2 linked regions of the Oryzias latipes genome follow. The protein of the gene in region 2 binds, or shares a complex with, the protein of the main gene of each other region. Links are inferred from orthologs where the notes say so. Each region holds a gene or a part of one and is shown on either strand. Other genes may lie near its edges.

Region 1 (3,822 bases), about 6.2 Mb from region 2:
AAGAAAGCTTGCAAAATTGCACTAGAATATCAGGGTAGCGCAGTGGCTGATGAACCCTCACATCTTTTTTATTTTTTTAGTTATATTGGCCAGGAGTAAACTGCAGTTGCAGTTCCATCAAATACAACATCTCCCCAAAACCCATGCAAGACAATCCAGTAGCAACTCAGGGACCAATTTCTATTTCCACACCTGCTGCTCTTAGTTGTCAGTCTTTTTTTTCTTTCTTTTTTCCTCTGAAAGGTTGGTGGTTTTTGCAACATAAATCCAAAACACCAGAGTCACAGGGATCACTGGGGCTTAAACAAACAAATCTTTTTGAGCTAAATATTGTAAAAAAAAAAAAAAAAAAAAAAAGCTTAATTTCTGTGGTCTGCAGCTAAGGTAATTTATTAAATCTAGCTCCTGAACCAAGAAGCAAGTCAAGAAGCAAACCCCCTCATCTAACAACAACAGTCCTTTAAGTAGTGCATACAAATTTTATAGATCCTTACTGATTCTGTCATCAATCACCTTAGAATGCTTTCCATAAAAATCAAAAATCGAGGCGGAAGAGGTTTTGTTTTATTTAGACAACTGCATAATTCTTATTGTTTATGTGGAGGGGGAAGCATGTCACGAAATTGTGGAGAAGGATTACAGGAAAGAAGGATTTCCAGCCTCAGTTTCTGTCTTAAGTGCAGAGCCCCATAATAATCATCTCCCTCTTGTCTTGTAAACAGAATTACCTGTTGCCACTTGAGGAGGAACCAATAACAGAACACTGCTTTACAAGTACTTTGTTTCTTGAGTAAAAACTATCTGAATCAGCCACACGTCAGAATGTCTTGTAAAACCAGGCAAATTCTCTAGTGACATGCTGACAAAAAACTGTTGATAATCCTCCATGTAACGAGTTATTTGAAATCAAACATACCTTACAAAAAAGATATTCAAATTTTCCTCCTTGTGGCTTTGGAAATGATTCACAGCAAGTTTAAGTTACTGATTATACTTGACAGGTTTTACTTTGTCATGAATGTTCTAGCAACTTTGGTCTCTGTCAAGGTGTAACTTTGCACAGCTTTAGGATCTAACAAAGGAGAATATTTTTATTCTCGTTATTATTAAAACTATGAGAAACCTCTTGTAATTCTTGGATTATTTTAACAACTACATGTAGACCCAACATGTATCTAAGGGTTCGGGGGACTGGGATGCTCAGGAAAAGCTTTTTGTCAAGTTACATTTACACTTCATATAGAAAAGCTCAATTACCAGAACTCTGAGCTAACTCTTGGAAAAATATCGTCACTGGCATTGATTGTGCTCTTTTTGCTTATTTTGTTTTTATCATGCTAATGATAGAATTTTTGATTTTGAATTTAGCTGCTTTTAGGTAAAAAAAAAAAAAAATTTGGTGGTTCAATTCCTGCTTTTTGTAAGTCTATAGGTTGTAGTCTTTTTGACCAAAGCAAACATTGTGTTCATGAGTACAGCAAAGCAGCACTTACAAAATACCCGGTGAAAGTGGCTTGTACAGTCAAAACACCTTATTCTGAATTTAACATTTTTCCAAAAGCTGTTAATATTTTTTGGAAGTCACTGTTTGCATGCAATTATAGCAGGGTAATGGTTAGGGTTACAGTTAGGGTTAGCATTAAATTATGTACGGCCAATGCAGCAATGTGCATTTTGGCTGCAAGAATATGTGTGGCCGACATAAATTTCCCTCAGTTTTTGAGCTTGGTCACACAGAAATGAGTATGAAAACCATTGGCTTTTTTGTATTTTTTTCCAGGTTCTGGTATTGTGGTCATGTATTTAAACCTTCTGATATTGCAACGCTGCCACTACATTATTTTGGTTCATATAAGTCCAACAAACCTCCTCTGTGAACTTTGAATGAGAGAAAACCCGCATTCAAGTAGTAATATGAAATGAAAATAGACAGAGTACTGGTAGTGCAGAATTAACTACATCCAAACTTTTCAGCATTAATATGAGTTGAGGAAAAATGTCCTTTGGTGCAAAAGAGCCAAATTCTTTTTCTCAATCTCTAGAGTTTATATACTTTTTGTTGCTCTGGTTTGCAGACAGGACAATCATTAAAGCAAATTTTAGTCAAGTTTTCCAATGAAAAAATTACCCATCTTAAATTCACTTTTTTAACTTAAACCTGTTAATATAATAGGGGAGTTTAACTAAGACCCAGTGTTATAAAATCCACGTCCTCAAACCTGAATGCCAGGATTTCAAAAGGTCTGAAGTTTGTCTGTTTACTTGGCTTTACTACCTCAAAGGCTGCAGACATGAGAACTTAAATCCTGAATTTATGTCTCACAGTCAATTTTATTTAGTTTTTCCACTGTTTTTTATTCAGTGTATCACTGTTGAGTATATTTTTTTACTGACTTGTTACATTTTTTAAGTTGCTGACACAGAACAGATAAATTACAACAGTAGCATTTTGTGACAGTAGAAAACTGGGTGGAACTGGCAATTTATTTAGACTTGTGACAGCAGACTTGCTCTTTATCACTCTTTGTAAGTTGTTTTTTCAATTGCAGTGTTTGCTTATGGCGCAACTGGAGCAGGCAAAACACACACCATGATAGGGTCACCAGATGATCCGGGGGTCATTTATCGGACCATGAAGGAGCTGTTCAAACGCATGGAGGATGTCAAGGAGGAAAAAGAGTTTGCTGTTACTTTCTCATACCTTGAGGTAAAACGCTTGACTACTTGGTGTACTAGTTGGTACAACTTTTTGTCTGTTTTATTTTTGTTGTTCCGTTTTTATATGTCCTTGTATAGTTTTTTTATAAATGATCTATAGGAATATGTTAATAGTTTTGAGGGTACAAATTATATTCTTCACAAATCTTTGGTCACTGATAAATTGAAGGCTGGATTTTCTGATTAGTTTAGGATCATTTTTTTGTTTTCCATCTAATATTCAAAAAATAAATAAATAAATAAAAATAATTGATAATTTATTTATCCCACAATGGAAAATTCTTCTCCGCATTTGACCGATCCCCGGAGGGAGCGGTGAGCTGCAGTAGCGTTAAGGCAGCAGTGATATGGTAATTGCCCCCAGTACCATTATTTATTCCCCTCCGGGAATCGAACCCTGGACTCCCTTTACCTTACCAACTGAGCTACCCAGCTGCCACTATATAGTTATATAGCGTCTTATTCCCAAAACACAACTGATTTAGGTAATCAGCAGCAGATACAGCAGGATTTTGTAACCCTTGTGCTATCTTAGGCACTTTAACATTGAGAGTTGGGTCATCTAGACCCACTAGACAGTGCGCTGAACCTTTTTTCTTCAATGATTTGTGATCTTCACTGGTGTCCATGGATTACATGAAATCCTCTTCACCTTTATCTACTTTTGTTATGGTAGGGAGAACACGTCAATGTAAGGGTGGGGTCATCTGGACCCCACAAGATAGCACCTAAAACATAAAAAAAAACAAAAAAAACAGCAGGATGCCAGCCCTCGAGACCAGGAGTCAAACATTTCGGATTTAGGGTTTGGAACGAGTTGCTGTAAAATTCTAGAAAACAGTCAAAAGTGTGGAAAAACAAATGTATCTTGATGAAACTCCCTTTGCCCTGTTTGTATTTGATCCAAAAGTCTGTTTTTCTGACAGTACCAGTTTCAATTTGATTTGCACTCTATACATTCATTCATTTAATGTGACGTGCACTATTTTCCAGATTTGCAGTTTTTTTTGTTTGTTTTGTCTTTACAACAGTTGATCTCAATTGTTCCCAGGTTTACAATGAACAGATCAGAGACCTGTTGGCTAATGCTGGGCCTCTTAATGT
Region 2 (4,440 bases):
CTTCATGAGGTTTGCTTACAAGGTTCAGCCCCGTAACTGGCTGCTCTTTGCTTGCCACTTGACCAATGAGACGGCACAACTGATCCAGGGAAGTCGTCTCATCAAATACAAGTAAGTATCGTAGGCTTAACCTGAATGAACTGCAATATCAGAAAGAAGAAAAAAAAAACAGAACCACCACAATGTTATTAGTACGGAAAATCCTGGTTTACAAATGTGTTTGTTTGAAGAATGCTTCTTTATTTTGCCATTTTCAGTAGTAGCTAAATTGATTGGATTCGACTTAACTGAAATCCCCGTTTTTCTGTTGATTCAGCATGGAGAAGAAGACTGGATCTTCATAGCAGAAAAGGGTGGATGATGGATAATGACTTCTAAGTGCTGCTTCAGGAGCCTTCTAAACATCCATACTCATTCATCAAACATTAATTCAATCAGTGAAACAACTGTTGCACTTTTGCAGATTTTCAATCCATTCTTTTCAAGATTAGTTAATGACTTTTTTTCCTCCAAAAACAGGTCAGCAGTTGTGATTTATATTTTAAATTATTTGCATAAAACAACACAAAATGTATGTGAGGAATGTACACTGAATTGTAAAATTGTTAGCTTGACATCAAACACACCTGACGAAAAATGTAATGTTACTTGTATTTCTATAGGTCATTGCCTCCAAATTCTTTAGAGCATGAAATATGTCCAGTATACCAGGCCATTCTAGCTGCATAAATTGCAAAATATTCTTCAAAAATATGATTATTTTAGAAAATTATCTTAGCTTAAAACCAAATAAATTCTGATGCTCTTTAGTTATAATTATAGCATATTTATTTGACTTGAAAATCATGCCTGTCTATATGACTGTCATTTAAAAATAGATGAAACAGGCTGTGTTTGTCAGTGTGGATTAAACACAAAAAACATCTCCTAGTTGTGTCATTCACATGAACTCACGTCATTTTCCCTCCCTGATGTTCCAGTTGTAAATTTCTAATAAACTTGATAGAATAATATAATTTGTGAGATCATCTCTTTTTTTTCCAATTATGTTTGTGTGATCTTTGGCATATGCACTAATTTTATTTGTGTTGAGATGAGCTGAGTTGCATTTTATGGAAGCACAGTAATGTGTTTTTTTTCAACTGTTACATCACTTGACACCTGCAGTTAAACTTATTTTCTTTTCTTTTTAAGCATTTATTTAATCTTGCAGCTTTGTCTCAAAAAATCATTTTCTTATACCTTTTGTTCTCTGAAACTGTGGAACGTACATACATTGTTTAAAACTAACGTATGTTTATTTTAGTAAGTTAATAAGCTAATGCTTTGGCTCTTGTGGATAAAAGCAGGACAATTTTTCTAGATTCAAGAATCCAGTTTCCTTTTTAACTTAAAATAAGTTTTTTCTAAGTAGTACCGGGGTTGTCCAGCAGATGGCAGTAACGCCCCTGCAGCACAGATGAAAACGAACGGCGTCTACCGCCGCAGAAGAAAACAATTATGGCGTCGTTCAGCAGTAACGAGTGGAAAGCTGTCTGCGCCAAATTCACCAACGCCCTACAGCTCAGCGACGTAGAATCACGAAACGACCCCGAAAACGACCCTTTCCGATCCAAATACAAGGCAAGGGAACTTCTGACAGAGATATACTGCTCGCTGAAGAACTTTGAAGCAGGAGATGGCGAGGAGCACGACGACGGAGAGAGCAGCGAGCCGGAGCCGACGGAGGAGCCTCTGGACGGAGAGAAGCCGGTGGATCTGGATGCGTTCAGCCGGGGATGGAGCAGCGACTCGCGCGCGGGGCTTCGAGCAGCCAGGCTCGCAGCTGTGGAGTATTATTTGGGCGTCAACCACGTGGACACAGAAGAGTTGTCCGCCGGGCAGGAGCATCTGATGAACTGCATGAAGCATCTGGGCAAATGCAGAGTGTCATCGGAGAACGTGTCGCTGTTCATCCACGTCAGGGTAACACTGGCAATGTTTTGTGGCCTTATTCGCGTCGTAACCACAATCTGCTACAGCTATGACTTGCGTTTGTGTGTTTAGGGGAAAATGGCCGTACTAGTGCAGCTACAGGGTGTTCGACCACACATAGACCTTTGTGGCAGATCAGCTGATGGAGATCCCCTCCCTCCCTGATGCTGATCATGTGTTTTATTCCTCGTGTTGACAGAATCAGCTGGGGATCCTCTGGGCAGGCAGAGATGAGACGGAGAAGTCCCAGGGCTTCCTTGAAACTGCAGAGTCCATCTACCAACTTTACATGAAGGAGGTACACCTGCCCTAATGCAGTTTAATATCATGTGAAACTTTTTAGTTTATTTTTTGTGGAGATTCTCATCCATCTAGGATGGCTCAATGGCAACATTATAAACATTACAAAAAGAACAAGCAGAAAATGTATTGGAACAAAAAGAAAAACATTCCAAGGGGATTGCACCACCAGTAAGATGTTCTATTTTACAACATAAACAATAATAGTAATAATTTATATATCTGTGATCATTGGACGACCTGCTCAAACGCCTTAGCCACTGCTGCCCATTCATTAGCTTTGAGAGCTTCTGGAAATAGTCGAGACTATGCAGGAATTTGGATTTTGGAGACTGGTAATATTTACTACATAAAATATATTACTATCTACTTACAGAACATATTCCCAATTTATGGTTATATCCTCATAGACTTTAATTTGAACAAAGTCTTTCCAAAAAACAGTTTCAGAGTGAGAGTTACAGAATGTACACTTGGACTCTGTTTTGTCTTTAACTAATATGGCTAGGTATTGATTAGTGGGGTATTTTTTTTTTTTTGCTTTATATGAACAATCAGGTAGCTTTTATCAACACTGATAATGGGTTGACAAGTAAATTTAAGCAAATGAAAAAGAGGGGAAAAAATGATTAAAAAAGGTTTAAATAAAGTTATTCTTCTTCATTCACATGCACTCACATTATTTTGTGGGTGCATGTGAATTTTAGATTATTAGTAATCCATTTTTAATTCAGAAAACTTAGAATAAAATTTCCATTTGACCACACAGGATAGGGATGAATTGGATGTTTATGCAGGAGCTTGTTCGGTATGTCTTTCTCTAAAAAATCTAGATCTACGACACAGAGAGTTTTTAAGACAGGGAAATAGAAAATTTCAAGATTACTGTTTTCAATACATTGTTTTGCCGCAAATGGAATACCCTAGTTTACATTGTTTAAATCTTTTTTTGGAAGCTTTCTTAAGTGTTTCACTTTCAATGTTGAAGTTGTGTTCCAGTACATAAGGAAGTTTGAGATGGCCGATGCAGCTTGTTCATTTTAAAAGGAACCCAACAGCAGCGCAGGTGAACAACTCTTACAAGCACCCGGCTCTAATGTGAAATGGTTTGGCCCTGATATACCACCATGTCTGTTTTCCAGACCGAGCCCTGCTTTCTGCTGATTAGCTCTATTAGGTCCCTTCCACCTTCTCATTGACTGAAGACACCTGATGCAGGAAACAACAGGGTGGTAGATGTTGAGGACCAGGAATGAGCAGCCCTGGTTTAGCCACACCTTAGCATCTATTTAGTTTTTTCCTCAAATGAGATCATTTCTACCCCTTCTTAAGAAATCCAACTTGTAATCAGAGTTATCCGAGTGCAGTTTCATACTAGATATCTGTGGGATTATTCAAATAAAAAGGCTTTCACATTTGTTTACGTTGCTAAAGTTGTCACATGGGGCTGCCATCTGCAGAAACAAAGTGGGAAAATCCTCCTTATTGATTCTATTTTCAGAATGGGAGTCCCCCTACAGACATGACAGAGTACTTCTGCTCTGAGGAGAACCAGCTGACTCATCAGGAAAGAACCAAGAAGTAGAAACTCCAGAATTTATTTTATTTGGTATTTAAATGTTTTGCCTACTATAGTTTGTAATTGTGTCTCCCTCCTCACTAGGTTTGAGCTGGCCTACACTCATACTTTGTACTACCTTGCACAAGTGTATCAATATTTTGGTGAGTAAATGATCAAAATCAAATCCTGATGAACTATAATGTACTGAACGCAATTCACGACGATGCAAAAATCCGTTCACGCCGACACATTTTTGGATGATACCATGTTGCGTTTACTTGCAGGTTAAAAATGTTCTGTTGATTTTTCATTTTTGTCTAAAAGCAAAACGGCATTCACCATGAGTCGTGCAGCTCTGGCTTCACACCCAAGGAATTTAGATTGTTGTGGATACATTTCAACTTTTTGGTCTTTTTGCAACTGCAGTACGTGCCTTAAATGAAAAAAACACACACAAAACGACCTCAAGAATTCAAACGTTTTCTGTCTGTTGTCCCACAATCTCAACATGCTCTTTAATATGTTGACGTTTTCCTATTAAGCCCCACACTTAACTATTAGTTAAATTCATTTGAATCGATCTTTCTAGTAATTCTTTTGAGTTA

What was found.
Region 1: the proteins of kif1bp (region 2) and kif18a are in contact, whole or in part, in a cryo-EM structure (PDB 7RSI), measured with the Homo sapiens proteins. The link is inferred for Oryzias latipes from reciprocal best matches to the Homo sapiens genes KIFBP and KIF18A. Residues at the interface, in NP_056449.1 of Homo sapiens: Ser150, Glu151, Tyr212, Tyr213, Gln216, His220, Gln238, Ile251, Asn252, Thr255, Gln258, Asn262, Gly414, Tyr415, Val459, Asp460, Leu461, Asn462, Pro463, Gln464, Leu467; in NP_112494.3 of Homo sapiens: Glu181, Thr183, Gln184, Lys185, Gly186, Arg274, Phe275, Val276, Glu277, Gly278, Thr279, Asn280, Ile281, Arg283, Ser284, Leu285, Leu288, Gly289, Val291, Ile292, Arg314, Lys317, Asp318, Gly322, Asn323.

The regions. Positions count from the first base shown.
Region 1 is NC_019861.2:17,967,709-17,971,530, reverse strand, and holds part of kif18a (kinesin-like protein KIF18A), read left to right. Parts: intron 1-2,549; coding exon 2,550-2,707; intron 2,708-3,769; coding exon 3,770-3,822.
Region 2 is NC_019861.2:24,154,414-24,158,853, forward strand, and holds the start of kif1bp (KIF1-binding protein), read left to right. Parts: upstream 1-1,474; 5' UTR 1,475-1,500; coding exon 1,501-1,965; intron 1,966-2,173; coding exon 2,174-2,272; intron 2,273-3,775; coding exon 3,776-3,855; intron 3,856-3,937; coding exon 3,938-3,996; intron 3,997-4,440. Other genes in the region: mpc1 (mitochondrial pyruvate carrier 1), read left to right, coding at 1-111, 317-344. UniProt on the Homo sapiens protein: Activator of KIF1B plus-end-directed microtubule motor activity. Required for organization of axonal microtubules, and axonal outgrowth and maintenance during peripheral and central nervous system development.